Regions from separate parts of the Mus musculus genome. Here all the other regions are reported to be linked to region 3. The links are microRNA targets in miRTarBase. Many come from high-throughput screens and were not tested one by one. Region 3 holds a microRNA gene; each other region holds the end of a gene's coding sequence.

Region 1 (7,499 bases), not on the chromosome of region 3:
CTTAGAATTGCCCTATGCTGTTGTGATGTGTTATGATGTCCTCTTGCCTTTGTTTTCCTCAAGAACTAATCGCCTTGTTCATTTTTCTTAGGACAAGACCAGTGCTCTAAGCCTGAGCAATGTGGCAGGCGTGTTCTATATACTTGTCGGAGGTCTGGGGCTGGCCATGATGGTGGCTTTGATAGAATTCTGTTACAAATCACGGGCAGAGTCCAAACGCATGAAACTCACAAAGAACACCCAAAACTTTAAGCCTGCTCCTGCCACCAACACTCAGAATTACGCTACATACAGAGAAGGCTACAACGTGTATGGAACAGAAAGTGTTAAGATCTAGGGGTACGGTTAAGGTCTAGTAAACTAATCAGCCTTACGTTTGTGTGTGTTAACCTTTTTGTTGTTATTCTTTCCTGTTTCTTACTTTGGTTGGATTCTAGCATTGCCTCTTTGCTACTAGTTAGTTATCTTTAAACAATGATTGTGTTCTCGTGTCAGTGGTTGGTGCTTTTCTAAAAGCATAACTGGAATTAAGTTATGGTCTGTGACATGAAAGGAAAAAATACATTCTTAAGCAGTATTATTCAATGCAAATATATGTGAGTGACACGTGTGACCCACATGAATAACATTTAACTGTTAGTTACAGAGTTAAAAATAAAAGAAATGCAGTTAATCTTAATCATGCATTTCATTGAAGTCAAGATACCCAAAATATTTCGATTTGTCACTTACACAATAATATTGAAAATGAATGAGATGTTTTATGTTCTTTTATTTATACTAATCTTTGAAATTTGGGGTGCTTCTATACTTAGGGAATACCCAAGTGATACTAGCAACATGCCAAATATTTAGTAGTCACATGTGCCCATGGCTGCCATGTTAGACAGTATAATTCTAGAGAAATCAGATATTCTGGAACTGAGGTTTAAACTAGGAAAAAGAAGCAAGGTCCTGCCACCTCATGTAGGGAAGTCCTTCCATGAAGAAGTAGTGGTTGTTTTAATTAAGCAGTGGAAGCATGAAACAAATTTCTTAATTTTGAGTCCCTTTGTTATCCCTTCCTTGGAACTGATGGTGCTCAGGTAAGTAAGGGTCTAGGTTACTTGCTGGTGACCAAATCAAAATTAATACTTAGGAAAACCTGACTACCAATAATGCATCTAAATTTAAAGGCAAGCATGGATTCAAATAATGCTTCCATTCTACAAGTATATAAAAGGATAAAGTCTTACCACCTTCCAAGTACATTTGCCTTACTGATGTGCCTATCAAAAGTAGAACATAACAATTAGCAACTTCCTATACCTTATTTTAGCTGGCTAACTTTAACCCTACCAGTAAATGTCAATATATTCCAATTTCTATATGTTGACCTTCTTATATATAACCTAATAAATCTAAATTTAGTTAATTTTTAAACATTTTATCCAAACAAATCATTTGTTATTACCATGGAAAACATGATCTTACTTGAAGAAGTTGCTCGTTGTCCTGTTGTCCTGTAGACTGCAGCCTTCAGCTACTACACACTCCGTACAATGAACTAACCTGTTAACAAATTGTTCCCACTAGTGAATGTTCAACCCATAAGTTCATCTGTCATTAGCACTATTAGCATGTAATCAGTTAATGTTCTCATGTGCTAGTGCTTTGAGTTGATGATATAATTCAGTTGGGGGCATATCATTTGCTTTTTTTTTTTTTTTTTTTTTTTTTTTTGTAGGACAGTACAGGAACAATTTCAATCTAGCATAATTACTGCAAACCCCAAGGAGTTGAAGTCCAACTATTTAGTACGCCTTAAGAATATATAGCAGTTTTCCATGTTCTGTCACATCTATTCCCTGGGTTGTAATAAAAATCGATCAGGCAGTATTTCCCCTCTGGTACCTAAAACTCAGATACAACAAGTGGCTTGTCTAAAGCTATTCAACTAGGTAGTGGCAGATTCAAGTGTAAAGTGAAGCCTTTCTTCCTCTTTACTAAACCAGACTTACCTCTTCCTGACTTCTCCATCTATAGCCTGATAGTCTTCAGGAAATTTGAACCCTTAGTTAGATTTTGTCAATTTGACAAGAGATGATTAGTTTATTACACAGCTGTCCATGCAGGCCATCGGATGACTCAATAGTTTAGAGCACTTGTTGCTCTTGCAGAGGACCAGTGTTCAGTTCCCAGCACCCACATGGCAGCTCACAACCAACTGTAACTCCAGTTGCAGGGGAGTCAATGCCCTCTTCTGCCTCCATGAGCACTGCATATATGTGGTGCACTTATATTCACGCAGACAAAACATGTACAAAAATAATTAACATATATTATTAAAAACCATCTTGAAAAAGTTTGTAGACCCTCCATGCCGTACTTCTTATGCACTGCACTCCATATACTCCATACAGACACACACACACACACACACACACACACACACACACACACACACATATGTATATATGTACATATATGTGTGTGTGTGTGTGTGTGTGTGTGTGTGTGTGTGTGTGTATTGAAAACTACAGTTAGCTTCTTTGGCTTCTTCAGGAATGTTTTTGAAATCCATCTCATATGCAAGGACACAACAAGCCTGTAATTTCGAGAAAGTTCCATTTTTCCTCTAGGTCTATACTATTCCATCCTATGAAATACTGTTATTTTCCAAGGTATCAAGATTCCTTAAATAGCGTATATGTAGGTATTCTTTGAGTGGGTGAAAGGTTGAGACAGGAGCTTACCTAATAACCTAGAATGAGCTAAAACCCACAGAAATCCCCCTGTCTCAGCTTGAATAGTGAGATCATAGATGTGAGCCATCAGGTCCAACTTGCATAGACATTCCTGCTGGAGAGTTTTTTCCAGCTTAAGGGATCTTGAAGAAGAAACAAAAACTAATTTTATGTCAAGTGAAGAAAATTTTTTTGAATAACTGAGAGGGTGAAGTTCTTTTTCCTCAGAGAGCTTTTATCTGAGTACCAGTGCTGTTTCCCTTCCTACCATTTAAGAGCAGGAAACAGTCACTGAGAAGTCAAGTCACTTTCTTAGAGTTATGGGGCCAGATAAGGCTATCCCATTGGCAAGAAGAAAGAAAGAAAGCAAGGAAGGAAAGGATGGAAGGATGGAGGGAAGGAGAGAAAGAGACAGAGAAGAAGAGAGGTGGGAGGGGAGGGGAGGGAAAGAGAAGAGGAAGAGAAGGAGAGAGGGGGGGAGAGGGAGAGAGGGAGAGGGCAAGGGAGAGAGAGAGAGAGAGAGAGAGAGAGAGAGAGAGAGAGAGAGAGAGAGAGAGAGAGAGACTCTGGATCTGGGGGAGTACCAAAGAAGAGCTTTTCCTACTTTCATGTTAATCTTTTGGCTCTTTGCATTCTCATACATATGTTAATTCTAGGACCAGAGGTAGATAATGATGTCATTCATTCAACCTAGCTTCAGGGTTCACTCAAGAGAAAACATGAATGTTCTGTTAGTGTACAGGGAAAGGTGGCTGAGAAAGGATGTGAGCCAACAGGAGACAGACTCAGGAGCAAAGAATCCCCTGCATCTAGTCGAGGCCATGAAAACGAGGGCATTATCAGCACCCTCTCAATCGGGCCCCTAATTTCAAGGCAAAGCACCTATAGATGCCAAGCTGTTTCATGGGTATCACTGCTTTTGCCTGTTTTCTAGAATGTGCTATCCCTTTAAACTCCCTGTGTTACTTTCAGACTTTAAACACTGAGGTTGAAGGTATTAAGAGAAATGAGCAGTCCCCAGTCAAGGAACAAATAATAATCTTTGTCCTCATGTTCAAAATGGATTTGAATTCAGTAAGCCAGACCATTGTGTACCCTCTGTCCTAGGTAAACAATCCCTGTCACATCTGCAATCAGAATATACGTTGCAGTGCATTTGTCCTGACTATATTAAAATGCCACTAAAGCTTTCTAACATACCTACACCTTGAGTGATTAAAGTCTTGAGTTAGACTTCCTGCATGTTAGTAAAATCCATGCATATGCTAGAAAACCACCCTAATTAATCTATTCCAAAGTACCTGCACCCAGTTGAAAATTTTAACCAGACCTATTTCCTACCAAACTGGGGGTGGAAGATGGCCCCAGTAATGGCAATTTAAGAAAACAGTCACTTTTTTTGTCCAGTGTCAACAGAGCCATTAATAAATGTCTTGGTTCCCAATAAAAGTCCATTCATACTACAATGTCCCCTTGCCTTTTGCAGATCCCTTCCCACCGGAAGCATGCAATGAGAGGAAATCACTGAAAACGTGGCTGCTTCAAGGATCCTGAGCCAGATTTCACTCTCCTTGGTGTCGGGCATGACACGAATATTGCTGATGGTGCAATGACCTTTCAATAGGAAAAACTGATTTTTTTTTTCCTTCAGTGCCTTATGGAACACTCTGAGACTTGCGACAATGCAAACCATCATTGAAATCTTTTTGCTTTGCTTGAAAAAAAATTAAAATAAAACCAACAAAAAATGGACATGCAAGATTCCAGTATGCGAAAAAAATTCTTATTAAAAACATTAATTCAACAAAAGCCATTCTTTGATACCACTGCACAGTATACGAAACCATGTTCGTTAACACACACACAAACACACACACACACACACACACACACACACTCACTTATGTATACACATTCACACATACAAATTTATTCTAATTCAGCAAAATAGACCCATCTTAGCTAAAAGAAATAATTCCTCCTGATTTAAAATAAAAGAAATCTGTCTCCCAGTGTTCGGGCAGACAGACTGGCATTTCTTCTAGGATCTGCTGATCAGATGTTTTTGGTATTTCCTGTTGGTGGTGATGTTCTGTGCACCCTATTTCCTTTTGATGTTGCTGAATTGTGTAAATCTTTAGAATGTAAATGTGACACTTAAGAAAATTCAAATGCTTTGGGAAAGAGACTGAATGGTGACTTAGTGTTCTTGCAATGGTTTTGTGACAAAAAAAAAAATGTTTGGAGAACTCCCCATAGTGGAGGTGAAGGGATTAATAGAGCCTTTGAAATTGACATCTGTGTGTAGCATGGGGCAGGGCACTGTCAGGCTTACCTCTCGGTGCTTTCCTAAAACGGATCCCGGAGCTTTCCAAGAAGCCTGGAATTACAGCCCACAGATAGATCTGTTTTTCTTAATTCCGTGTGCATTTTAAGTCAATATAGCTGAGTAGTTGAATAGTAAGCACTGAGGTGAGGGAAGTGCTGCCTATTCTCCCAGACGTGTTTGGAATATCTTTCTCAGAAACAACACTGTGTTTAGCTCTGCTTTCTCTGCTAAGTATGCCTAAGTGTACAACACGGAGACAGAACCGTGTTGCAAGGCAGGCCAGTGGGTTCAGACCACAGTTCTCAATCTGACTTTACTCTTGCTAGGTCTGTTTAACCAGCTGTTGCCTGTTACCGCCTGCCTGTGGCTCTCCGTCAGACTGCATGTGTCCTTTTCTAGTTTGCAAAGACTAAGACGCATTCCTAAACCTATTGCTAACCTGAGGGACCTAAGCATCACTCCCAGGTCCTTGCTTGGAGCAGTTTCTCTACTGAACTGAAGATCGCCCCACTGCTCCATGGGCTCTCAAGTAACTAATTGCAAACCTGCTGTTGACGTCATCAGACCAGTCAGAGGAAATAGTCTCCGCTCACTAATTACCTCCTATATAACAATGTATGCTTTCTGTAGTTCAGTAGTATGCTCTCATCAGTAACGTGCATTGGAAAGTTTCCAGACTGTACAAATTAGGAGCCCACCTTCATTTCCCAAGTGTGACCCTTAGATGCTTAGTTGACTCGCGCATATTTGCTCTCGTCTTTAGAAAAGAAAGGAAGAGGTCTCGTTCCAATGAAACATTTCTAGAAAGGTGTAATATAAACTTTCATTCCAGAAAGTGTGTCATAAGCAAATAACTCACCTGTCAGATTTTAAATGGTATTGAACACAAAAGAAAGCTGTTGTGTTTTGTTTTGTTTTCATGAAACTGTGATTTTTCAACTTATGAATGCTATAATGTCCCAGTGCGGGAAGCTAACTCTGTGTGAATATCAACTTGTATAAAACAAACCAACTGACCTATACACAAACATTTTTCATAGGCACTGTATAAAGAGAAATGTATGTTTATTGACTCAAATCAGTTTTTCAGAGAGGAAACTTTACTGAGATGAAGAAGCGGGTAAATTGGTTTGTTATTTAAAAAAAAAAAAACTTGCATGTTTAAAAAAATGTTGATTGCTTCAAATTTCTGCTATTAACTTCAAGCTATGGGAGTTTGGCGGTAGTCAATTGAGGATTTTTTTCCATTTCTTTTCTTTTTGTTGTTAAAGCTGTACTTCAGTGAACAGAAAAATTGCCAAGCAAACTAATGGCCGTAAAAGTGTAAATTGCATGTGTGGGCATAATTACCGAACCTCATTGCCATGAGGTATGTACAAAGTTTTAATACATTTTGTAAATAAAATTGTAAAGAAAGCATTCTGTCTCTGCACTTTGACTAGCTGCTTGCTGTATACTTGATGCAGATGCCAAGAAGTCATTATTCACTAATTAACTTCTCATCTGAAGCCCAGCCAGTGCTCTAACAGCCTCCTCACTATGAGGATTGGGTTTCTCCCCATCCCAACTGCAAATCAGTCAGGGCTCAGACTCAGGGCCCTTCAGCTACACTGAGCCATCCTCCCACATTTTCCATTAGTTTGACTTGCCTTCTTTGCCCCAGCTAGCATCCTTTAGGATTCTTCCCCCTCCCCCACTGGAAACCCTTTGAATTGAATTGGATATAATTGAATAATCAAGAGTCACCAATTTAGTATTGGTGGGTAAAGAAAAAATGCAGTGGACTATACTGGTCAAGCCTGGTTTGTAGTTTCTGGGGTTTTGGGGGGGGGTGGGGGGGTTCAAGACAGAGTTTCTCTGTATAGCCCTGGCTGTCCTGGAACTCACTTTGTAGACCAGGCTGGCCTCAAACTCAGAAATCTGCCTGCCTCTGCCTCCCAAGTGCTAGGATTAAAGGCGTGCGCCACCACGCCCAGCCTGCTTTGTAGTTTCTGAACATGGACTACAACTTCATGTAACAAATGAAGCCAGTTAAAGACAGAGCAGGTCTATCCGGTTGTCACCCTAGAAAACAGGGGCTGCTGGTAGAAGGAAAAGAGGGGTATTTTTTTTAAGAGGGAGCAATTCAAGAAAGATGCTAAGGAGATAAAGGTAGAGACAATTAGGGAACCAGTAATACAAATTCTTGCAAAGGAAGAAAAATAGAAATGGGAAAAGAAGACTTTCAAAAAAGGCTGGTCTAATCAGACTGTGGACAACTTGGCCTATAGGTTCCAGAATAATTACTACTGCTTTCCTTTTTCTCTGAATTGCTGATTACCTGTTATATGACTAATGCTTTTTTAAAAGATTTATTTATTTGTATTTTATGCATATGAATGGGTTTTTCGCCTGCATATTCTCAGCATGCACATGCCTGATGCCTCAGAGACCAGAAGAAGCAT
Region 2 (7,344 bases), not on the chromosome of region 3:
GTCAGATCACTGTCCCTGCCTATTGTGGGCCTCTGGGAGCTTTGAAGAAGTGAGTCAGGAAGGAGAGAGAACCTTCCTTTGGGGAAGGCCCTGTATTGCTTTTTAGGTAAAACCTGAATCTGACTACTGTTCCTGTGTCCTGCTGTTTAGGTTAGAGATCATTTCTACCCCTCCCTGTGGACCTGGTTAGATGACAGAGGTCTCTCTAGTGTGGCCCATTTACGGCTCTGAATGTTCTCATGTAAATGCTCTGGGTCTTAGTGTACTTAAAGGGTTTTTCTTTTTTTCTATTAGATGTACCAAAGCTGCAGCCTCATCCAGGATTGGAAAAGAAAGAAGAGGAGGAGGAGGAGGAGGAATATGATGAGGGGTCTAATCTCAAAAGACAGACCAACAAGAACAGGGTGCAGTCAGGCCCCCGCACGCCTAACCCCTATGCCTCGGACAACAGCAGCCTCATGTTCCCTATCCTGGTGGCCTTCGGAGTGTTCATTCCAACCCTCTTCTGCCTCTGCCGCTTGTGAGAGGACAAATGGCCATCCTCAGCAGGGTGGAGGGAGTGTGCGAGAAACCAGACACTTTGGTTTCTGTAATCTTCACAGTGTTTAGGAAAAGAGAAAACAAATCAAACAGCGCACACACACACACACACACACACACACACACACACACACACAAACACAGACACACATGTGCTCACACACACACGGAAAGAGATAAGAAAAGCAGAGAGAGTGGGGTCACCCCACCAACACAGGTTGCAGAGTGCTCAGTCCTGCTCTGCCTAGCTGGCCCCACCCCAGCTCTCTTTCTCTGGGGTACTTAGGGAGAGGATCCTTCCTCTCCGAGGATCCTCATTATATACCTAGTAGGAAGGACTCTGAACTCAGAGCAGTCACACTTCCTTGGTTTTTTTAGGTTAGACATTAACAAACAGCAGGAAAATGTCACATAACCTGGAAAGACCGCACTGGAGTTGGGTGTGTTCTGAGTTTCTGTCCAGATGTGATTTCAGCAGTCATGGTATTCCAAGTGTGTGTGTGGAGGTAGATAAGTGGGACGGTAAAGACAAAGGCGTGGAAGAGAAAGTCAGCGCTTCCTTCCTGGGAAGCCTGTCGTCTGGGTTAATCTGTTGATGTATCTTCATTGTCATCTCTCATCCTGATGTGTGCCAGTTAGAGGACTGTCTGGTATCCAAGACGACTAGTGTATGTCAGGTCCTCAAATCACCAACAGCTTGTTACTACAACAAATTGTTTTGATTTTAGTGCCTGTTGAGGACTTGATTTCTTCTTGATTTTTCTCTTAATCTGGTTCATTTGAAATTTCTCACTTCTTAACCATAGAGCTAAGTTATTGTCAAAACTGGGCAGGAGACAGGAGATTGGAGTGGTCTCTGCTGGGGTGTCTGACCCTCCACCACCTCACCTTGTTGGTACCTCCCTCCCTGAATTCCTGAGCCAGCAACTCTTACTGGCCCCTCCATAGGGTCTTGCTGCCAGGGACAGGGATGCTTTCCAGCCTGCAGCAACAGAACACTTGACCTTAAAAGTCTCTTCTGGTCTTTGGATTAGAAAAGGCTTATGTTAGCAACCTCAGAGACTTGAGCCCTGCTAAGTGACTGACCACTGTTTAGAATGTCCAGAATCTGATGTCCATCTGTCCCTGTGTCTTCTGTCCTCTTTCAGCTAGTTTAGGCTTATGCCTAGAGTCACCCCAAAGAACTGAGACTGGCTGCAGCAGCCCAGCTGTGTTTCTCATTGATGATAATAGTAGGCTCTACTGCCCTCCCCTCCCCTATCCAAGTAGCAGTTAAGTTCCATCCAAATACGTGGGACTCAAAGACTCCTAGTCAGCTGTAGTTCTGGAGGCTCTGAATGTCTAACTTTAGCATCAAAGTGTCTGTCTCAGATTCCCAGTAAACACCTCTGTAGGGGATGAAGTTTCCATGTCCCCCATCTTCCTTTTGGTCACCTTCATCTGTGTGTCAGTTAAGACACAGTGAGGGACAGCCCAGCTGCAATAAAAGGGATTTTCTATGTCAGAAGCAGCAGGCTTTGCTTCAGCTTGAGTTGGAGCCGTGTGAGTCTCAGGCCAGGCCCTTATTTCTGAATGTGTTTGAATTTTAAGTTTGCCTTATCAGATATCTGAGCTGTGCGACAAGTAAGTAGCTCTGGGGCCATGTCTTGACTGGCTCCTAATGGTGACTCCAGGCCAGCACTTGGTCATTTGAGAACTGTCTTCTGTGTTCTCTGTGACTTAGGCTAGCCCTAGGGTACTGAGGTGGCAGCTGCATGGCTGTGGCCTGAAGTTGCACTTGCAAAGGTCCTGCTTCTACAGGACGCTGAGGTACTTACTACCCTGGTCTCGGGAACTGCCTGCCTAGGGCAACAGATGTCCTGACTAATCTGGCTTCTGGTTCCCGGTCCATCCCTATTTACAAAGCTATGGGCCACTGTCAGCACATTAAACAAGGTGAGGGAGAGTAGCTGCCTCCGTGTCACCTTGTCTGCCTGGGTCTCTGAGGAAGGAGGGGTCCTGCTTTCTCACCCAGCTCACCCCTTTGGTGACTCAGAGTCCTTCTCAGAAGGAAACCCTGACTCCTGGGCCATTTCCTAATGGTACTGTAAGCCAAGTGGCTCGGCTTCTGCCTCTGTTTCCAAGCCCACCCCTTCCCGGAGGGATAGGGACGGGTGCTTTCCTCTCTAGTTGTATCTGAGCGGAAGGAACATCTTTCTGTAGCTAATAAAAACTAAAAGGGAAGAGGAAGCAGAAGGGAAGGAGTGTGGCGGAGGCTGGGATGGATTCCCTAAGCCAAGCCTGCCCAGCTAATGAGCTGTTTGACGTTGAACTTGAAAGCTTTCCCCTCCCTCTAAGATGATGTAGGTACTTGAGGTTTGGGTTAAAGGGGCTGGGTGGGGCACGCTTTATTTTTATTTTTGTATTGTGTATGTCAAGAATCACTCCATTGTTCGTGTTGCTTTTTGCACTGTTTGTTCCCCGCTGTGTTTTGAGCTAGAACAAGGAGTTGCCTGGGATTGGGAGCTGTGGGTGGTGCAAGTCAGGGAGTGGGCCAGGAGAGGCCCGGGTTTTCTGTTTGAGCTATACTCTGACCCAGGATGTTAGAGCACACTGATCCAGCCACTAGAGAGAAAGGTACAAGAGCAGAGCAGAGGAGCAAGCAAGGACAGCTGGGTTGAGTCTGCAGGTCCAGTGTGGTTTAGGTCAGTCAGGGGCCAGCTGGCCTCTGACTGCATTGCTTTAGGTCGTATTCAAACTCTCTTAAACATTGTGCCAAGAAACGATTTGTGGGATTCATGTCCCGAAACCATTAAATCTATTGTTTGGAAAGTCTGCAGTCCTGAGGAGGGCTTGCTCACTGGACACCCACAGATCTGGCCCTTTGAAAGGCAGCCTTCAGATGCCCATCGTGTGAGAGGCGCTGCCTGTTGATGAAGTGTGTGACCTTTTCTCCTGCTGAGTGGGAGATCCCAGGGTCCCACACGCCTCACCTCGGTGAGTGGGCAGAGCTGAGCCGCACTGTGTGCCTGGGAGCAGGTTACAACTCTGGTTTGACTTTCATTTTGTTGAGAAGCTTCTGTTTTAAGGAATTTCTCCTTCTTGTCTCATTCCTGCCTTTCCTGGGAAGGGCCTGGCCCTGATCTAGAGTCTTAGCTAAGGAGCTGAGAAACAGCCACAGTACTCCCTTCTCTTCGCGCACAGGGCCCTCTCTCTTAGAGACTGCTCAGCTTTCGAGTCCAGGGAGGAGTCAGCGGGGAGTCAGCAGGTTCTCTCTCCTCCCTGGGAACTGGGGACCAACCCACCCCGGCAGCACAGTGCCTTTTTTTCTCCTGCTCTGAGTCAGGTGGGCGTCCCCTCTAGATCCAGGTCTGGGCAGGGGTCTGATGGTCCACTGTGGGCTGTTTCCCTATCCACCCCCCTCCTTGCTGGCCTACTCTGACATAATACAAGTGTCTTCTTGCCTTGAGGAACCTTAATGGCATTGTGGCCACCACATGTGACTCTTCTCCGTGACTCTATAAAGACCTAGCAGAGCATGTGAGCATTCTCAAACAAGAGACTAACTGATGCTCCTGCTGTTAAAAAGGCAGAACTAGGGAGGTGACTTTAGGCCTCCTGCTGTGGCCTCTGAAGAAGGTGACTCTTCAGGTAAGACTGATGGAGGCTACACCGACAAACCGCAGACACGCAGGATCTGCTCAGAGATTGCAGAAGAGCGTGGCCTCTCTTATAGGGAAGATGTAATTATGGATCAAAGAGTGCTAAGAAAATTGCGAAGAAGCCTTACTGCTTACACCAGAGAGCTCAGGGCAGCTTTATCTTCCAGGTTTATCTAAAACTATCTGTGTTGGGCTTCCCTGACACGGGAGAGGGGCAAGGATAGACGATTGACATGGCACTGATGGTCAGTTGCCCAGGGAGGCCGCTTACTCTGGATGCAGATGGCTGCTGCCGATCCACTCTGTCTTTCTCGGGCTGCTTTTGCGTCGTTGTCCTAGGTGGCCAGATTGTCTTGATAAGAGCAGATCTGGGGACTGATCGGATTGGCAGGAAAAGAACAGAGTGCATCTCTTGGGATGGGCTTCTCTCGGAGTGTAAAAGCAAGGGGCCAGGATTGTGCTGGCAGCCAGGGAGACAGTAGTGCCTGCGGAAGTTGGCAGAGGAGGCCTTGGCATGCTCGCATCCAGGCAGTCATGTGTGATGGGAGCACATAGCATCGGGAGAAGCAGAACTCCATCCTCACCTCTATTTTGAGCTTAGTGCTTTATTTCAGTATGAGGAAAAACAACAACAAACCGAAGTGTGCTTTCCGTCCTTTCAGAGGACAACTGTCAGGAAACAGTTGAGGTGCCAGGTGGGAGGGGAGACTTGGCAAGGAGAGATGTCGTGGCAAAACTAGGAAAAGAGACATTCTTGGCTCTTCTCTTTCCTGGTGTGCCATGATCCAGGGAATGAAAAGAAATTTGACCCTGGATTAGTTTCTTTGTCGGCGCTGAGGAACACTGCTTTTTCACAAAGTTCCCCCGGGATAGAATGGCTGTCCAGTCTAAGCTCAGGGCAGCCTCTTCAACCACTGTTGGCCCAGCCTGGCTTGTGAGGAAACCAGCCCTGTCCCTCAGTATTGAACTTGGCTGCTTGTGGGATCCAGTCCTGGAGGACAGGCATCAAGTTCTTAGCCTCTGTAGCTCTTAGCTTTCCCATCTTTCCCTGCAAGGCCACACCGTGCATTTACAGCAGTGTGGCAAGGTGTAGGAGGGACCTTGAACCTGGCTGGCCAGGGCAGCAGCAGGAGTAGGTAGAGCTGTTGTTCCTTCTGGGCTGTCTCCATCCATCTATACCCCTTTCATGCCCCACCCCACTCCCACCAAAAAGTAAAAAATCAGGATGTTTTTCACTGTCCATTGCTTTGTGTTTTAATAAACAATTTGCAGTGATACTCCGTGTTGAGAGTGAATTGAACTCAGAGAGAGAGATGGTGAGCTGGCTGCAGTGGCACTCACTTGTCATTCCAACGGTTGGGAGGATCAGGAATTGAAGACCACATCCAATTAAGTACTCAGTTAAACTGTCAGTCTGGACTCCCAACCCCCACCACTAAGAAAGACCAGGGAGGTCGCTCAGCTGCTACCAAAACTGATCAAAGCCTGAGGTTGACCCCCAGAGTGTGGAGAGAGAAAGAGAGAAAGCGCTAACACATGCTGTGGTACCTCCCCTCCCCAACAGATAAGTAAATGTGTCCCCTCCCCACCCCACAATAATAGTAGACACCAATGTAGGAGAAGGGGAGGGAAGAGAGGCCATGGAGGACTAATGACATGACATTCTTGTCTCTCTTGGGGCTGGCAAGATGGCTCAGCGAGTAAAGGTCCTTGCTACCAAGCTAAGGGGAAGGAGAGAACCAGCGTTCCCACAGGAATGGTTGTCACCTGATGTCCAGTCACAAACGGGTACACACTTCCTCCCCAGTCTTGGCCTGACCACTTCAGCCAGCACTCCAGGAATAATCAAGTCTGTGTTATTTGGATCTGATTGGAATGCCCAGCCTTGACTCTGTTCAGAGGCACACCAGGCCTCCAGCTATGTCTTTGTGTCCTGTACCCTCTACTGAGAGGCGACCTGCAAGCGAAGCCATAGAATATTTCTCTTGCCGGGCGTGGTGGCGCATGCCTTTAATCCCAGCACTTGGGAGGCAGAGGCAGGCAGATTTCTGAGTTCGAGGCCAGCCTGGTCTACAAAGTGAATTCCAGGACAGCCGGGGCTATACAGAAACCCTGTCTCGAAAAACCAAATAATAATAATAATAATAATATTTCTCTTGCCTTCCCCTTCCGTGGCAGGTGGGAGTCCAGAATGCAAGAAGGAATTTTTCCCCCCTCCTTAAAATGTATCAACCCTGTTTTAAAGCTGTGGTACAAGAAGCTCAAGATATCAGTTATTTGCCTCGGGCTGGTTAGTAAATAGTCAAGCCATGACTTAAAGCCGGTCTTTTCTGCCATTGGTATCCAAACACTTCCTCCAGCTAGACTAACTCTAGCTATCCTCAAGTGAACCTTTGAAATGGGCTGGTCACAAAGCCAAGCACTTTACAGATGTCACCATGTTTTCCTATGGCCACATAGCAAGAAAAAACCTCAACAAACTGGATTCTTGGTTTATTCATCTACTTTAGTATCAGGGTCTCACTGAGTCACCTGGTTGGCCTGGAACTCACTTATGTAGAACAGGCTGGTCTCCAACCCCTGGTGCTCTCTGCCTGTCTCCACCTCCTAAATGCTGGGATTAAAAGTTATGGCCACCATAATGTTGTGCCATGTCCCCAGAACATACCCACTGTTACAGCAGTGGAAGTTTCTGGCTTTGTGTGATGGATGTTTGCCCTGCCTGCTGGGTTACACTATCAATGGCAGAATTGAGCATTTAACTCTTTTTTTTTTTTTTTTCCTTTTCCTTTTTCTTTTTGGTGAAAGGGTTTCTCTGTATAGCCCTGGCTGTCCCGGAACTCACTTTGTAGACCAGGCTGGCCTCGAACCCAGAAATCTGCCTGTTTCTGCCTCCCAAGTGCCCTGCCCGGCGAGCACTTAACTCTTAAGAATAAAGCCTACTTGAAAAACCAAAAAAAAAAAAAAAAAGACTAAAGCCCAGTGTTGATGGAGTCTGCTCTCAGGGCCCATAGAGACTCTGGCTGAGCCCTCTCCAAGGTAAAATTCTTTACTAATTTAGAGGTAGGTGTTACTATTATTTAGCAGAGCAGTGGGACCGGCCAAATGGGGATGGGACCTGAAAAGGCACCGCTCTAGGGACTTACAGGGAGGGAAATTGTCT
Region 3 (7,688 bases):
AGGGGAACACCAGGGCCAAGAAGTGGGAGTGGATGGGTAGGGGAGTGGGGGGGGGGAGTATGGGGGACTTATGGGATAGCATTGGAAATGTAAGTGAAGAAAATACCTAATAAATAATAAATTTTTTTAAAAAAGGCTAATGAAGAAGAAAAGGATCTTGACCTACACAAAGAATTATGCTATAGGATGTCAGAGACATAGATAGCAAGGACCTGAAGTGGAAAGATGACAAGAAGCTGAGTAGGATAATAAATATGTTACATAAACCAAACTAGATGTGACAGAGTGAAGAGATGGATCAAGCTGAACAAATTGAAATTTAACAGAGATAATTTTAGAATTCAAAAAAACAGACTTCTCAGGTATGTCGTGTTTAAAACAAACCCCACGTCTGCTTTGAAAAAGACATTGAAAGTCGAGCAACACTACTTCAATTTGAATCAACAAGGCCTGCTACCTGATAGGCTTGCACCCCCTTTGGGGACAATAATGAAAGGTATATTGGAGAAGTGAGGCCACAGGCATGCTCTTGTCAGCACTAACAATTGAACTCGACACTGCAGATCTTTGGAGGTTGAAATTTAAATGAAAAAAATTGATATTGAATCTTAAAGAAATGAATGTACTAGACATTTGATTTCTCATACCAGATTGATAAAAAAAAATCAAAGTTTACTGTGTCAAGTATAGAGATATTTTAAAGGGGGTCTTTAGTCTGAAGGAAAATAGAACACAAATATAACATCTTCAAATATCTTTAAGTGTACAAAGAATGAAAACAGTCTTATTCTGAAGGATGACCTAAGGACGTGAATGGCACAAGATAAAGGTATATAATGGCACAAGATAGAGGTATACGCCCAAAGCATAGGAAATGAGTTTCTCCATGTGGGGTCCAGACATGATCTAAACTATTGCTGGGGTGTTATACGAGGCAATCAGGAAGGGATCAGTGGGACTTTGCTTAAATGAGTGTTGAGTTCTTTTGCCAGTCCAAAGGAAAAAGGCTTATGTATATTAGTAACACTCAGCAACCAATGGTTTGAAGTTTAATCTGCTATCCATTTGCTATGCAAATATGGGACAAACACATGATTTGATTCTTCTCAATGTAGAATGAATGTCAAATTCTAATTAATTGGATTTCACCATTTAATTTTTTTTAATAATTCAGAGGGAAATGAGATTGAAGACAATTTTCTCTCAGGAAAAAGAAATGTTTACAAAGTAAACTTTTAGTATAACCAAGATTCCTAGAGAAAAATTTACCCTTATATTTCCAGGCAAAAAAACCACATCATTAAAAATAATTGGATTATGATTTCTGTATGAACAAATATTGCCAATCTCCTAAATCTCTCAGCAGTTCAGGGAAGACTAACAGTCATAAGATCTTTTTAGTACCACTTATTTTAAATACTCCATGAACTTGAAGATGATAAAGTGTTTTTAAGAGCTTTCGTTTGAACCTAGCATCCCCAAACATTAAATCAAGTCTCATTAATTCAACGAATTTAAGGAATATTTTTAGATTTTGCTCCTTGGGTTTTCTTGAATATGGATAAGCAGGAAATGACCATAGATTATTCTTTGCAAGGAAAAAAAAGCAATTATCAACTAGAGAGAGACAAATGTATTATAAATCAGCTGAAACTTACCTTATAGGTAAGCCAGAGCACATGGGAGCTAGTCTTAAATTCTAGAAACTCTGAGTCAGCACACAGAATTAAGGCTTCCAGATGTGTAATCATCAGTAGAGCTTGGTGAGGGGCAGGGTGCGCAACCTGTGCAGCTGTCTGGGCTATGTGTCTAGAAGCTGTGTGTACTCAGTCTAACACTCCTCTATGCCTTTTAAAACTACAATGATTTTGAGCTCTGGACACTGAACATGACGTCGGTGGTTCCAGGATACAGACAAGTGGTCACTAAGATACAGACAGACAAACGTCTGATAGCATCTAAATATAGTTATATTTATTAATGGGGTACAATATCCTGTAATCAAGACTAGCCCATTGGCTAGAGTGATAAAGAATTACTTCACTTGTCTAATCTATAAACCAAAGCAAATTCACAAATTTGCTAATTGTTTTTCTCTGCTGCAGATGTGAGCTGCCAGGAACCAGTGGAGCTTCAGCATTCAAAAGTAATCAGCCAGCATTTCAAACTCCATCAAAAAGTCATGTATCACTTTCAGAAGGCAATGAAATTCTGATACATTTTTACTGGAGCCAAAGAAGGGATGATGAAGCATATGTCAATTTTAAAACAACAGAGCAATCTCTTCATCTCACCGTGGAAAACCAGGAGTAGCAAAGGACACTTGTCCCTTATTCTCCAGAATACAAACTGCCAACACCACCTGTACTGCTGAATGAGGGAACGCCGACGCTTTGCTCAACTCTGCTCTCCCTAGCATGAGTTGCAACGTTCCTCTCGTCACTTACACACTTACACATGCACACCTTTCTTCCTTTACAGGACAGAGAATCACCAAGCCTAGAAAGAACACAAATAGAAGCTCAGGCATATCCCTGTCTTCACTTTTGCATCTGCTTTGTTTCTGAAAATGAATCTAGAGCTGAAACAGTCAGGAAAAATAAAATAAAAATGAAATATCAAATACGAAAGCCACTCCAGCTCTAATTTAACTACATTTTCTCCGTTTGATGTCAAGTTCCTAAATAGAGCCTATGTAGCTCTAGAGAAAATACTGAATATTACCCTAAATTTACATAACATTTGTTCTAAAGAGCAAATAACATTTACATACAATTTACCTCCAATAATTTGCACATGCAATATCCCTATGGAAGTCAAGGGGAAATGCATTATCCTCATTTTCAGAATAGTAAAACCAAGATACAAAATAGAACCAGAATCACAACACATACACACAGAGCGAAACTATATGCACAAATCATTTCTCCATTTTAACATTTTCATATTATTAGACTCTTAGTGCAAGATTATTATCATTACTATTATTATGAAATATGTGCATATAAAATTATTAGTTACAAAGTAATTTCAATTATAAATCATTTTACATGGAGCTCTATAAGGCACTAAATAATTTTAACAAATATGTAAATTAAGAATAGATTATATTTTCTAAATCTCATTATGAAGTTATGTATAAATTTAGCAACAACCTATATCCCACGGAAAATAATACAGTGACCTCCTGTGATAGTAGCAGTCTAGTAAATGAATTATATTTTGATATCTAAACCTGCCTTGTAAAAATAGAGGTTGTAATTTTTTGGGAGTGATTTACAAACACAGAGAAACATTTTTTCCGACCTGTATCTTCCAGTAGAGATTCCATACTACCCCAGATCTTGAGCCCAGACTTAAATAAACATTAGCTGCTCAGTTTTAAAACCTCGTGGGATTACCTCTTTAATTGGCGATGTGATGTCTTACGTCATGATGTTGCGTCACCACGTGATGACGCTGTGCCATCACAACACATCATCGCATATTGACACAATGTCATGGCATAATATCATGGAATTAATTACATCAGCACTCCCACACCCTGGCCCCAGGCAGGAACAATTTCCAGTTTTTCTTTGCTTTTGAGAAGAGTCTTGGTTGACAGAAGAAAACAGCCACTGGAGAAATAATTTCCTGGCCTCCTAGAACTTCCTTGGTCTCCAATTAGAACCGTTTTAAAGTGACAAGGAGGAGTTCAAGGGTCGGTTGTCATGGGGATAGTGTTCGAGGGTTGTTACGTGCTTTGCTCCATAACTAATAACACTTAAACTCAATTTTAAAGACAAACATTTACAAATGCTGACCCTTCTTTCCTCCACCCCAAGGCTTAAAACAACAGCACTGGAATGGTGTGAAAAAAAAAATTAATTTGTTGACTCTTCATTTCCTGTCCTTCTTATCCACGCTCTTCCAATCCTCTTTCCTCAAGACTGAGACGGTCAGAAAAAGTACGTGTAGCCAATGGCTTCAACTAGCTTTGCATGTTAGGTTGGAGAGGGAAGGGAACCTGCAACAGAAATCCTCTCCACAGTCTGGTGGAAGGCAGCCTCTCCAAGTTCACACCCACTCACACCCTAAGTGTCTGGATGAGGCAGTTACACCCAAAGTTATCAGGCATTACTTTTGAATTATTCCAAAGATACGAGTTCCCGGTTAAACAAAGGGCTAGCTTATGCAAAGTGTCAGTGAGTGACCTTTCCTTCACAAATCCAGTTGCCAGACGCCAGCTCTATTCTAGTTCAAAGGCTCTGGCCAAGCTGAGGGTGCAGAGTTCTCTTCAAAGCTCGTGCGGCAGTAAAGGAGACAGGTGAGCAGATTTGAAGATAGCAAGGGAAAGGAGGAGGACAGAGGCGTCGAGATGATCCTGCAAAGAGACAGCATCTTTTGTCTCGTTCTTTCTTGAAAATTAACATGAGAAGGAGAAGAAAACCTAAATTCAAATGTAAACCAAAAAATGGGCATAAGGGAGATCCCAACATATTAGATTAAATTTGTTTGTAGACATTTTCTCAAAAAAAAAAAAAAATCCTGTTGAAACCAGTGCAGTTAAGGAATACTTACTCACACATTCATAATCCTTCATCATAATTACAGTCTCCTGATGATTCTTAAACTACTCTATCACTTAGCACAGTTATTTTTTAGCAAAGTATTCTATCTGCAAAAGTAAACATACCTTTTCCCTATTTATAACCAAATACACAATAAAATCCAAAACCTCTCTGTTTTCCTGAAAGCAATTTAGTAGCCACAAATATATTGGCAAGTTCTTTTCTGGTAAGCATATAAAGATGAATTTTTTTTAAAACCCTTGAAGATATTCTGCCTTTTAAAAAAGATCATTGGTAAGTATTTATGTTTAAATAAATCAGCAGACCACCTCTACCCAATCAAAGATCAGTGTTACAAGTTCTGACAGATTTGGTCCAACATGAAAAATCACTGGTAGATATTTTCAACTGTTATCATAATTCCCAAGAGATGTTTCAAAACTAGAAACCAGGAGGCAATGAAAACAATTTCAACTTCCAAAGATTTGCCTTCATTTTCTTGAGAGGTGCATCATGTTTCAAGAGAAGTTTTCAAGTAATGTTCAAAAATTCCTTTCTAAGCCAGGTATACTTGCCCTTTTGGAATAAAACTATTTTGAATTAACTATTTAATTAAAATAACATTAATTTTTTAATGTGTGGAAAAAATATATATTCATTAACATATCAACTTTATAAAGGCAGCAAAAAAGACAATACAAAATTCTCAAATAACTCATATATATATATATATATATATATATATATATATATATATATATATAAACATATAGAGAGAGACTACAGTAAGCTACAAAGACATCAATAAGCAAGGATTGGTGATAAATCTCCAACACTAAATCTTTCTCATATATAATATACAAAATAAGAACAATAATTACATACATACAGGAAAGTTTACTTGACTAAGTGATATATTTTAGAACATAGAATACAGATGTTCTTCAACTTATACGGGGCTACCGCTTAGCTTGAAAGTGTTATCAACATAGGACAGCGTCATACCTATGGCAAGCCAGGGAAGACACTGAAAGTCAAATCATTGTAAGTGGGAGACCATCTTTGTAGACAATGATCTGCAGAAGATGAAAAGTCAAAGCAATGCAGAAGTTAGATACATTCTGAATATTTTTTCCTTAAGAACCATATCTTTAAAAAAAAAAATTCCAAGTCCAAAACTGGAGCAAGAATAGCAACAGCAGAGTTTCCAAGTTCTGCAGATTTATTCAGCTCTATATTAGTGTTCTCCATCTCCAAAAGTCAGTTTATGCAACAGATACGTGTTGCAAAATTTTCAAACTGAATTTGTATCTTTGAGAGCAAATAATATTTGCAGCAGAATGATTGCAAATACACTTGCCTGCTTTATGATTCTAGAGCTCCACGTGCTTTCACACTTAGGGACCCATTTGTTTAACCGTGTGATTATATACTAGTGATAGAGTGAAATTAGGAATTGAGGCTGGAAACATTCATATATACATTTATCTTCCTATGAACTCTACACATACCTAAGACAGGTATAACAAATACCCCACTTACTCTTTTTTTTAATTAATTGAGCTTTTTTTTTTTTTTTGCATGTGTATAATGGGCTTTGCTCCAGTGCTCCATGACTTCCCCTCCAATTCCTCCCCTCTCCCCACTACCCATTTTCCCTCTCAATTTAACCTGGCCTCCATTGGACACGCAAACTTTATATGCCCCAGTACAGGGGAACACCAGGGCCAAAAAGGGGGAGTGGGTGGGTAGGGGAGTGGGGGTGGGTGGGTATGGGGTACTTTTGGTATAGCATTGGAAATGTAAATGAGCTAAAAACCTAATAAAAAATGGAAAAAAAAAAATTTAACCTGGCCTCTTTGTAAACCTACTAAACTGTGTGCTGCCTGTATGCGCATGGCAGTACCATTGTTATTGGAGCATGGGGAGCCTATCAGGAGACATCTTCCTGAACAGACTCCTCCCTCGCCAAGTAGCCATCCAATTCTAAAAGCCCCCGAGCTAGTAGTTTGACTTCATGAGCCCACCTCCTGTCTATACTGGGATTTGCTCTGGCTTGATCTTGTGAAGTTCCTCTTCATGCAGTCTTAGCCACGGCGAGTTTGTTGTACAGTGGTCCTGTCATGTCTGGAAAATACTGCTTCACTAAAGATACCCACTCTGGCTTTTACAGTCTTCCTGCTGCCTCTTCTGAGATGATCTCCATACCATAGGTGAAGAGCTGGAATATAAAAGTCCAATGCAAAGCTGAGCACTCCAGTCTCTTATTTTCTGCACAGTAACTAGTCAGAGATAGCTGTACTAATTGTCATCTACTGCCAAAAGAAGTGTCTCTGATGAGGGTGGAGAGTTGCATTTTTAATGAAAACATGGAAAAACATGGAAACTTTATTATCACATTCATTTAGTAGAATAATTTTTTTTGGTTTTACTCCCCAAGAGCCTATGACATATCCAGCCACTGGTTTTAGACCCAGTTAACAGTACCAGACATGAGTTCTTTCTTCTGAAGAGGGCCCTAAATCCAATCAGACAGTGGTTTCTTACTCCCATGATATGCTTGTCACCATTCCATCAGTAGTTATGTTGTGCCAGGCCTGTTGTGGTTACAATTGGCAGGGTTCACAGCAGGGTAAGACTGTTGATTACGTTTAGTGTACAGAGCATCTTCCAACCCTATGAAAGCTACCCAAGATGTTTTTCTTCTGCCTCAGAAGTATATTTTAGAGTTGCCATAAAACAAAACAAGAGAGCACACAGAGATTAGTTAATTTTAACTATGTGGAATAGTTGCATTTAAATTACTAAATTTAAAGAAAGAAAAGAATGACAGCTCTGAAAGCTACCAAAATTATATTTGGATATATATATATATATATATATATATATATATATATATATATATATATATATATATATATAATCTCATTCAGTTGAGTCACTCCCAATGATGTTGAAGTAAATTGTAGTTGTTTTGTGGAGAGAAAGTGTCTTACTATATATCTCAGGCTGGACTTGAACTCCCTATCTTCCTGACTCTGCCTCTCAGGAACTGGAATTATGGGCATGTCTCCTAAGCTGGGTACAATTATTAATCAATACAACCTGCAAAATTTTGTTGCTTAAATTAATTTG
Region 4 (7,688 bases), not on the chromosome of region 3:
GCAGTGGTGGTTGCACGCCTTTAATCCCAGTACTTAGGAGGCAGAGACAGTCAGATTTCTGAGTTCGAGGCCAGCCTGGTCTACAAAGTGAGTTCCAGGACAGCCAGGGCTATACAGAGAAACCCCGCCCCCCCCCCCCCGAAAGAAAGAAAGAAAGTTTTTCTCCATATTTGCACACTCTCCCTGAGGAAAAGATGTCAAGAAGAATCTAAAATCCCTGCTTCTTTCTTCACGGAAGTCATGGTTAAAAGGAGAAAACAGCCTGGTGTGCATATGCCTCAACTATTTCATCAGCTGGGAGCCAGCTTGGGGTACATGAGACCCTGTCTCAAAACAACCCCCTCCCCCCAAAATCAAACAAAAAGAACAGGAGTATTTGTGGAACTTCCTTCAGTATTTGGTGCCCTATCTTGTGCACAGGAACAAACCCGGCCAGCTGTTTTTGTCACCCCACTCTCTAAGCCCCTCCCTTTGTGGTGCCATTAACCCCACCCTGGCTGTGTGCCAAATCCTGGCCACTCATGGGATAAGGAGGTTAATTACAGCTCACTGCTCAGTAGTTCGGTAAACATCAGGGTGGTGCTAACTCCCTGATGCTCCCTGGCCTGCTGTTTGGATTCTGTCTTCCCTCACCACACGGCTTCTGTCCTTTTAGGTTGAAAGCTAAGCATGGGGAAGAGCTGCAAGGTGGTCGTGTGCGGCCAGGCATCTGTGGGCAAAACTTCAATCCTTGAGCAGCTTCTGTACGGGAACCATGTCGTGGGTGAGTGTTGCTGGGCCCGGGAGACTGGCAGAAGACCTTGAGTGAAGGATCTGGTCACATCCTGAATCCAAAAGCTAAAAAGGACACCAGCTGCTTTCACACCCTCCCAATTAGGGCTGGAGGCAGGGCTGACTGTCAGAGCCCTGGTCTAACATGTACTAGTCCTTGGGTTTGAACCCCACAATGGAGGGGGAAAATAAAACATTGTACCACCCAAGTTCTATGACATTGTACAAATCTAGAAGGAAGAAACCCAAAGCCAAGATAGGAAGAAGCCCATTCCCACCCCACAGCACTTGGCCAGAGGTGGATGTAGGGTGTCTGCTTCTATTACTGCCCGCCTTGTTGTTATCGTCTTTGAGAGGGCCTCACTGTACGGCCCAGGTTGGCCAGGAACTCTCACAGATCAACCTGTCTCTGCCCCTGCCTCCCCTCCTCCAAGAGCTTCAATTCAAGGTGTGTGTCTCCACACCCAGTTCTGTGTTGCCCTTTTGCTTGGTGTGATAAAGACATGACACTCGGTCTCACTCTCAAGTCTGGTCTCTCCCGAGCCCCCATATTCCTTATGCCCTGTGTCTGGTCGGCTTGTTAGGCTATCTACCTTGCTCCCATCTCCCATCTCTCTTGACTCATTTTAACCCAGGTTCTGAGATGATCGAGACCCAGGAGGACATCTATGTAGGCTCCATCGAGACAGACCGAGGGGTGCGGGAGCAGGTGCGTTTCTATGATACACGGGGTCTCCGGGATGGGGCCGAGCTGCCCAAGCACTGCTTCTCCTGCACCGATGGCTACGTCCTGGTCTACAGCACAGACAGCCGAGAGTCGTTCCAGCGCGTCGAGCTGCTCAAGAAGGAGATCGACAAGTCCAAGGACAAGAAGGAGGTACATGTCCTAGACTTCTGCTGGGAGCCCAGTGGTAGGAGAGCATGAGCGTGGGTCCTCGGTATGCTTTCGGGTGTATACTGGCTGGTTTTGTGTGTCAACTTGACACAGCTGGAGTTAGCACAGAGAAAGGCACTTAAGGTGAGGAAATGCCTCCATAAGATCCTGCTGTGGGGCATTTTCTCAATTAGTGATCAAGAGTGGAGGGCCCCTTGTGGGTGGTGCCATCCCTGGGCTAGTAGTCTTGGGTTCTATAAGAAAGCAAGCTGAGAAGCAAGCCAGTAAAGAACATCCCTCCATGGCCTCTGCATCAGCTCCTGCTTCCTGCCCTGCTTGAGTTTCAGTCCTGACTTCCTTTGATGATGAACAGCAATGTGGAAAATGCAAGCTGAATCAACCCTTTCCTCCCCAACTTGCTTCTTGGTCATGATGTTTTGTGCAGGAATAGAAACCCTGACTGAGACAGGGTGCTGGCATGATTCCCAGTTGTGCGCATTTGCCAAGAGGTAGTTTAGGAGCTAGAAGGCCGGGAAGATCATTGGAGAGGGTCTTCAACCCACACAAGAGGTAGTGGGCCACATGATAGGAGAGCTCAATCGCTGAGTCTTCTTCTTGGTTTACTAGGTTCCCTCCTAGCACATGAAGCGCGGTCTAGTTTTCCTTCTCTGGGGCTCTGTGTTCTTGCTAGTCCTCCAGAAGTCCTCTGGGAACTGCATCCTCCCCAGCTGTTGGCCAGAAACAGCTGATGGCTACACCTGGTCCTGAGCCACTGCATGCCGACAGTCCCTGTTCTCATCTGTCCTCTCCAGGTCACCATCGTGGTCCTTGGCAACAAGTGTGACCTGCAGGAGCAGCGTCGCGTAGACCCTGACGTGGCCCAGCACTGGGCCAAGTCCGAGAAGGTGAAGCTATGGGAGGTGTCGGTGGCTGACCGACGCTCCCTCCTAGAGCCTTTCATCTACCTGGCCAGCAAGATGACCCAGCCGCAGAGCAAGTCTGCCTTCCCCCTCAGCCGCAAGAACAAGGGCAGCGGCTCCTTGGATGGCTGAATAGCTGCCCTTCTTGCTTCACCATTCCAAGCCCATTCCGGGATGGGTGGCGAGCACAGGGTGCATAAGCAAGCTGTTCTTCCCAGTCGGTAGGGGAGTGACCCTCTAGGACAGGAAGCTGGGCTGGCCCAGGCCAGTGCCACCTTTGTCCTCTCTTAACTCCAAGAAGTGCAAGTGAACTTGATTGTTGGCCCTCCCTTGACCTTCCATAATAGTTCCCACCCCTCCCCCAGCTGACCATATTTTCTCCACTGTCACCTAGACACTTATGGGTTAGTGTCCCTTCCATCTGCCTGGTGCAGGAAGCAGGGCCGTCATGCCAACGCGCCCAGTCCAGGATCTGCCTCCTATCAGGGATCCCAACTCTGAATTTCCTGCCACTAACATACACACAGTACCAGCCTTAAAACAAAAGACTAGGTACTGTAAGCATACATTTGTGCGAGCTGGCTTAGGGTTGGTTCCTCATCCTCCACCCTGACCTTTCCTCTGGCCTGTTCAAGGCCTGGTAAAGTCAGGCTCCTGGGAGTGGCATTTCCTGTTTGACCTCTACCCATCTCCCAGTTGTTTCACTTCCTCTTCCTGTTCCAGGAGCAGAGGTCTTATTGGCTGAGGTAGAGTGGAGTGATGACTGGGCTGTCACATGCCCTGAGACTTAGCAAGACTCTTCTCCCCTGAGCGTCAGTCTTCTCGTATGTGAGTTGACAGAAGCTTGGATGTCACCTAGAGCCACGGGTAGCGCTGTGACTTTTCTAAAGCTGGTGGCTTGGGCCTCCTGTGTGTCTTCTGCCCCTGCTCCACCCTCTTTAAGGTGCTACACCTACCGGCCCTGGAGGCTGGACGGCCTCTCTTAACCACCAGGGGGCAGGGGTGCACTCTGCTCAGTGCTGCGAGCGAGCGGCTGTCTATTAACCTGCCCAACAGGGTAGTGTCCATCCCTCCTGGTTGGTTTTGGCTAGTAGCTGGACTTTATATTTATACTCTCTCTGTATTTATGCACCTGCTGCTCTGGTGAAGGTGGGATAAGCCGCGCCCCCAGCCCTTCTTTCTTACCTCAGATGCCTGAAGAGAACCAGGCAGCCCAGTAGCAGCTTCCCAGGAGCTGACAAGCCTTCCATCAGAGGCTTGTGCTATCAAGTGAGCTTATCACCCACAACCTGCGGTGCCCACTCCGTGCTTCTGATGTGCACACCTCACACGGGTTAAACACTATGGCCAGGCCACCTCCAATACCCTCTCCTCCTCCTAGAACAGGCGAGGGGGGGCTGGTGCCCAGGCCTGGGCAAGGAGAGTCTGGGCACCTACAGGCTCAGGCTTGAAGTTCATTTATTGATGTGTTGGACACAATAAAACCACAACTGCTATTATCAAAAAGTTTCCCGTCCCCTACCCCTTTTCTTGTCCCATTGGAAATATCTTTCAAAAAAAGGGGGATATAGGTGGATCCTGGTGAAATCCCATGTCGAATGGGGGAATGGCACTGGCTTTGGTGACATGAAAGTTGATCTTGAGGGTTTACTGGACCATGTACCAGCCCGAAACGCCACACTTGGGATGGCCAGACCCAGTGTGGAATGGAGAGTCCCTAGGCTGAGGGAGACCCAGAGCCCCTTTAGAGTTGGGGTTCAAGAGAAACCACTGAAAGGCTAAGATAAGAAGAGCTGTAGTGCCGGGTGTGGTGGTGCACGCCTTTAGTCCCAGCACTCGGGAGGCAGAGGCAGGCAGATTTCTGAGTTCGAGGCCAGCCTGGTCTACAAAGTGAGTTCCAGGACAGCCAGGGCTATTGTGTCAAAGCCAGACCAGGCAGGGTGGTGTGTGCCTTTAGTTCCGTTACTTAAGAGGCAGAGGCAGGTAGATTTTTTGAGTTTGCCAGCCTGAGCATACAGTCCCAGACCAGCCAGGATGACACAGTCAGGCCCAGCCTGAACACCACTTTTCCCTTCAAGCCCCACCCCCACGAGCAGATGGCGCGTCATCTCAACTCTGCCTCACTTTCACAGTACATTTTTTAAGAACTTTGGGGCCTCTTATCTCTATGGCCCTTTGCCATACATACCCTGTAGTCTACTTGTGGTTGTTTTGGTGTTTGAGACAGTGTCTAGCTATATGGCTCAAACTGACTTTGAACTCGTAATCCAGGCCCTAGGATTGCAGGAATGCACCACCATACCTGGCTACCCCATGGTAAATATGCCTGATAGGTTCCAGCCCACTTCAGTTTGAGATCCCTGTCTCTAGTGATTGTCCAGACCGCTCTAGAACATGGCAGGAGAGGCTGGCCCTTGGGAGCTAAAATGCTGTCAGCTCTGTGTACGTCTCTAGTTGGGGTCTGGGTATGAGAGCACCATGAGACTGGGGCTGTGGTTTTTGCATAGATCTTTGGGATTTGTTAAATCATAGATGCAGGGCAGCCTAGGGCTGGCCCAGGAAAGGAGGGTAGTGGTGGTCCTCAGAGCCAGGGGACTGGAGAACCCCAGTCTGAGTGAAGGGCAGCTACCCAGGTTGGGTGGGAACCCGGAAACTGCAAAAGGCAGTCTCTGTGGGATGTGGAGACAAGTGTCTGACTGGAAGAGATAGGATGTGGCCATTCTGAGTCCACTAATAGGGAGCAAAAAGGATGGGTCCTGCAGCAGGGCGGACAGCTCCTGCTGGAGAACGAAACAGAGCTGGGCCCAGGACAGGAGCTGGGAAGAGGGTAGCAGCTGCTGTTGCAGCAGGCCGGAGGGTCAGGGGCCCTGGCAGGGCACAGATGGCAGCAGCTGTGGTGGGCAGCGGACCAGGCAGGAAGCGGGCTGCCAGCGTCTTGGTGAGTTGCTTCTGCAAGGCCAATTTAGACTACAATAAAAACAGAAATGGAGAGGGTCTCTGATACCAGAGAAGCCCGCCCCCTCCCTGGGACACATCCAGGAGCCTTTTTGCCTCGGGGACGTGCCTTTTAGAGTTCTAAGTCTAACCTCCTCCCTCCCGCCCCCAAACAGTCATGCCAGGGGGCCTTGCTGTGCCAGCTGTCTTCCTGCCCAGCAGATGGACAGCCTCGGGACGGGCCGCACTGTGAGGGGTAGGAAGAGATGGTCTCTAGGATAAGCACACCCACCCCTGGCTTTTGCCCTTCATATTATGACCTTAGGCCCAGCCCACCCGCAGGAAATTCCTCTGGGTATGGCCCACCTCCACCCCCTAACCCTGTCCCTGCTCAGGCAGCTGCAGGACCAGCAGCCTCCCTCTTGCCACACCCCAAGCCTTTCAGCTGGCCCTGCCTCCTCCTCTCTCCCATATAGACCATGGTCCTCCTAGAGACAGGTACCTTGAGAACACTCACAGCCAGTGCTGTGTGCTTCTGCAGCTTGTTATGCTGGCTGGAGGACTTGGGGGGCTTCCCAGCCAGCCGGTCTTTGTGCCTCCGGCTGCTCATGTGCTGACAGACAGACAGACAGACAGACAGAGAATGAGATGAGGAAGCCCACAGAACCCAAACTATTCTATTGTCAGACTATCTCAGACTTCCTCTTATCCATAGTTCGTACGTTCAACACACACACAAGGGGCTCTCAGGCGTGGGACAGTCCTGGACAGCCTAGCCACATCCATCCCTCAGTGGGCATCAATGCCTCCTCCCTTGCTCTGATACCCATCCTATCCTGGTCTCCCTTCTCCTACCTGCTTGAGCTGGGTCTCTGAATTGACATGGAGCTGACAGAGGGCACAATGGAAAGGAGGGCTGGGTCCCTGCCGGCCCCCACGATTTCCTATCACTCTCTTGGTCTTGTGTCCAGTCCCTCCTCGGGACACAGGACGGCCCCGGCCCCTTCGGGGAGCCCCTTGATGACCTTCCACCATCCATCTGTGCTTAGCTCCTGGAAGGAAAGAAAACGGTCTCTCAGTACGGAAGGGAGGCCATAGCATCAAACTAGGTTAGCTTGGCTACCCCTCCGCACACACATGGCCCCCGCCAGGCACACAGACTTCTGTCTTCCCAGCATCTCTGGCTGTCTATGGCTTTCTGTGGACATCCCTTAGGGAAGATGGCCTTTTAAAATAGACAGCTGGGAAAAAGTCCCTTCCTTTTGATCCAAGGAGTATGGAGGAGGGTACTCCAGGCCCTTAGTGACCTTCAGTTCTGGTTGCTGCAGACTTCTCCTCCCAATGCCCCTCCCTTGGGACGAAGAGAAGGACCCAGAAATGTCTTTGTAGTAACAGTGGGTAGGTTCCTCTGTCACCTGGCCATGAATGACATGGCACCCGGGAAGCACTGACCTGTGTTGTGAGCCTGAAGCTGAGAGGCGGAGTTCACTGTCACTTTACAGGTAGGGCAGTAGAGGCGTCCCTTCTCGCCCCTGCCCTCCCCATTCACTCCACTTCCCACGGCCCCTTCTGCTGGCTCAGGCCCTGGTGCTTCCCTGCTGGGATCCGGGGAGCAGGGTGGGCAGGAAGAGGAGGAAGACGAAGCAGCAGCATCACAAAGTTCGGAGTGGACGGGGTCTCCGGCTGAGTGGACGGGGTCTCCGGCTGATGGGTCCGGGGTCGGCGGGAGCTGAAGTGAAGGGCCAAGAGGAGGGGATGCAGGACCTGCAAGGACATGGGACATATGGGGAGATTTGGACCTCTGAGGCGCAACACTGACATGGTGATAGAATGGGAGGCTGGAAGGCTTCCTGGTAAAGGACAGCTAGCACTCAATTCTGGGTTCACCCTGCCACCAACTCACTAGGCAAACTTGAGCCTCAGTTTCCCTGTATAAAAAATCATAAAATCGGCCTGGTGTGGTGGTGCACGCCTTTAATCCCAGCATTGGGGAGGCAGAGGCAGGCAGATTTCTGAGTTCGAGGCCAGCCTGGCCTACAAAGTGAGTTCCAGGATAGCCAGGGCTATACAGAGAAATCCTGTCTCAAAAAACCAAACCAAAAAAAAAAAAAATCATAAAATCGGACAGAATTGGTCACACTTTCAGTCTAATGTTCTAGCTCCTCAGTATTGAGTAAGTAGAAGTCACC

The links. Region 3 holds the annotated microRNA mmu-miR-592-5p (AUUGUGUCAAUAUGCGAUGAUGU, at 3,475-3,497, opposite strand). A microRNA usually pairs through its seed, bases 2 to 8, with sites in the 3' UTR of a target mRNA and lowers its output. Matches are read on the target gene's strand: a 7mer-m8 pairs with bases 2 to 8, a 7mer-A1 pairs with bases 2 to 7 and ends in A, and an 8mer does both.
Region 1: the mRNA of Gria3 is a reported target of mmu-miR-592-5p. Seed matches in the 3' UTR shown: 7mer-A1 at 4,588-4,594, 7mer-A1 at 5,939-5,945 and 7mer-A1 at 6,077-6,083.
Region 2: the mRNA of Mlec is a reported target of mmu-miR-592-5p. Seed matches in the 3' UTR shown: 7mer-A1 at 673-679.
Region 4: the mRNA of Zfp385c is a reported target of mmu-miR-592-5p. Seed matches in the 3' UTR shown: 7mer-m8 at 4,481-4,487.

The regions. Positions count from the first base shown.
Region 1 is chrX:41,672,128-41,679,626 of GRCm38, forward strand. It overlaps Gria3 (glutamate receptor, ionotropic, AMPA3 (alpha 3)), which reads left to right. Exons shown (of 16, transcript NM_016886.5): 15 at 92-339; 16 at 4,213-6,474. The coding sequence ends at 337. Among named protein-coding and RNA genes, the nearest start is that of Thoc2, 240 kb to the right of the region's middle.
Region 2 is chr5:115,141,095-115,148,438 of GRCm38, reverse strand. Mlec (malectin) reads left to right here. Exons shown (of 5, transcript NM_175403.3): 5 at 295-5,458. The coding sequence ends at 524. Among named protein-coding and RNA genes, the nearest start is that of Unc119b, 9.8 kb to the right of the region's middle.
Region 3 is chr6:27,933,237-27,940,924 of GRCm38, forward strand. It overlaps Mir592 (microRNA 592), which reads right to left and starts at 3,514; the gene lies at 3,419-3,514. All of the region lies in intron 2 of Grm8 (glutamate receptor, metabotropic 8), which reads right to left.
Region 4 is chr11:100,623,537-100,631,224 of GRCm38, forward strand. Zfp385c (zinc finger protein 385C) reads right to left here. Exons shown (of 9, transcript NM_001373887.1): 6 at 6,952-7,263; 7 at 6,355-6,551; 8 at 6,002-6,112; 9 at 4,007-5,532. The coding sequence ends at 5,296. It overlaps Nkiras2 (NFKB inhibitor interacting Ras-like protein 2), which reads left to right. Exons shown (of 4, transcript NM_028024.2): 2 at 656-763; 3 at 1,407-1,648; 4 at 2,458-4,066. The coding sequence starts at 670. The coding sequence ends at 2,697. Among named protein-coding and RNA genes, the nearest start is that of Nkiras2, 4.4 kb to the left of the region's middle.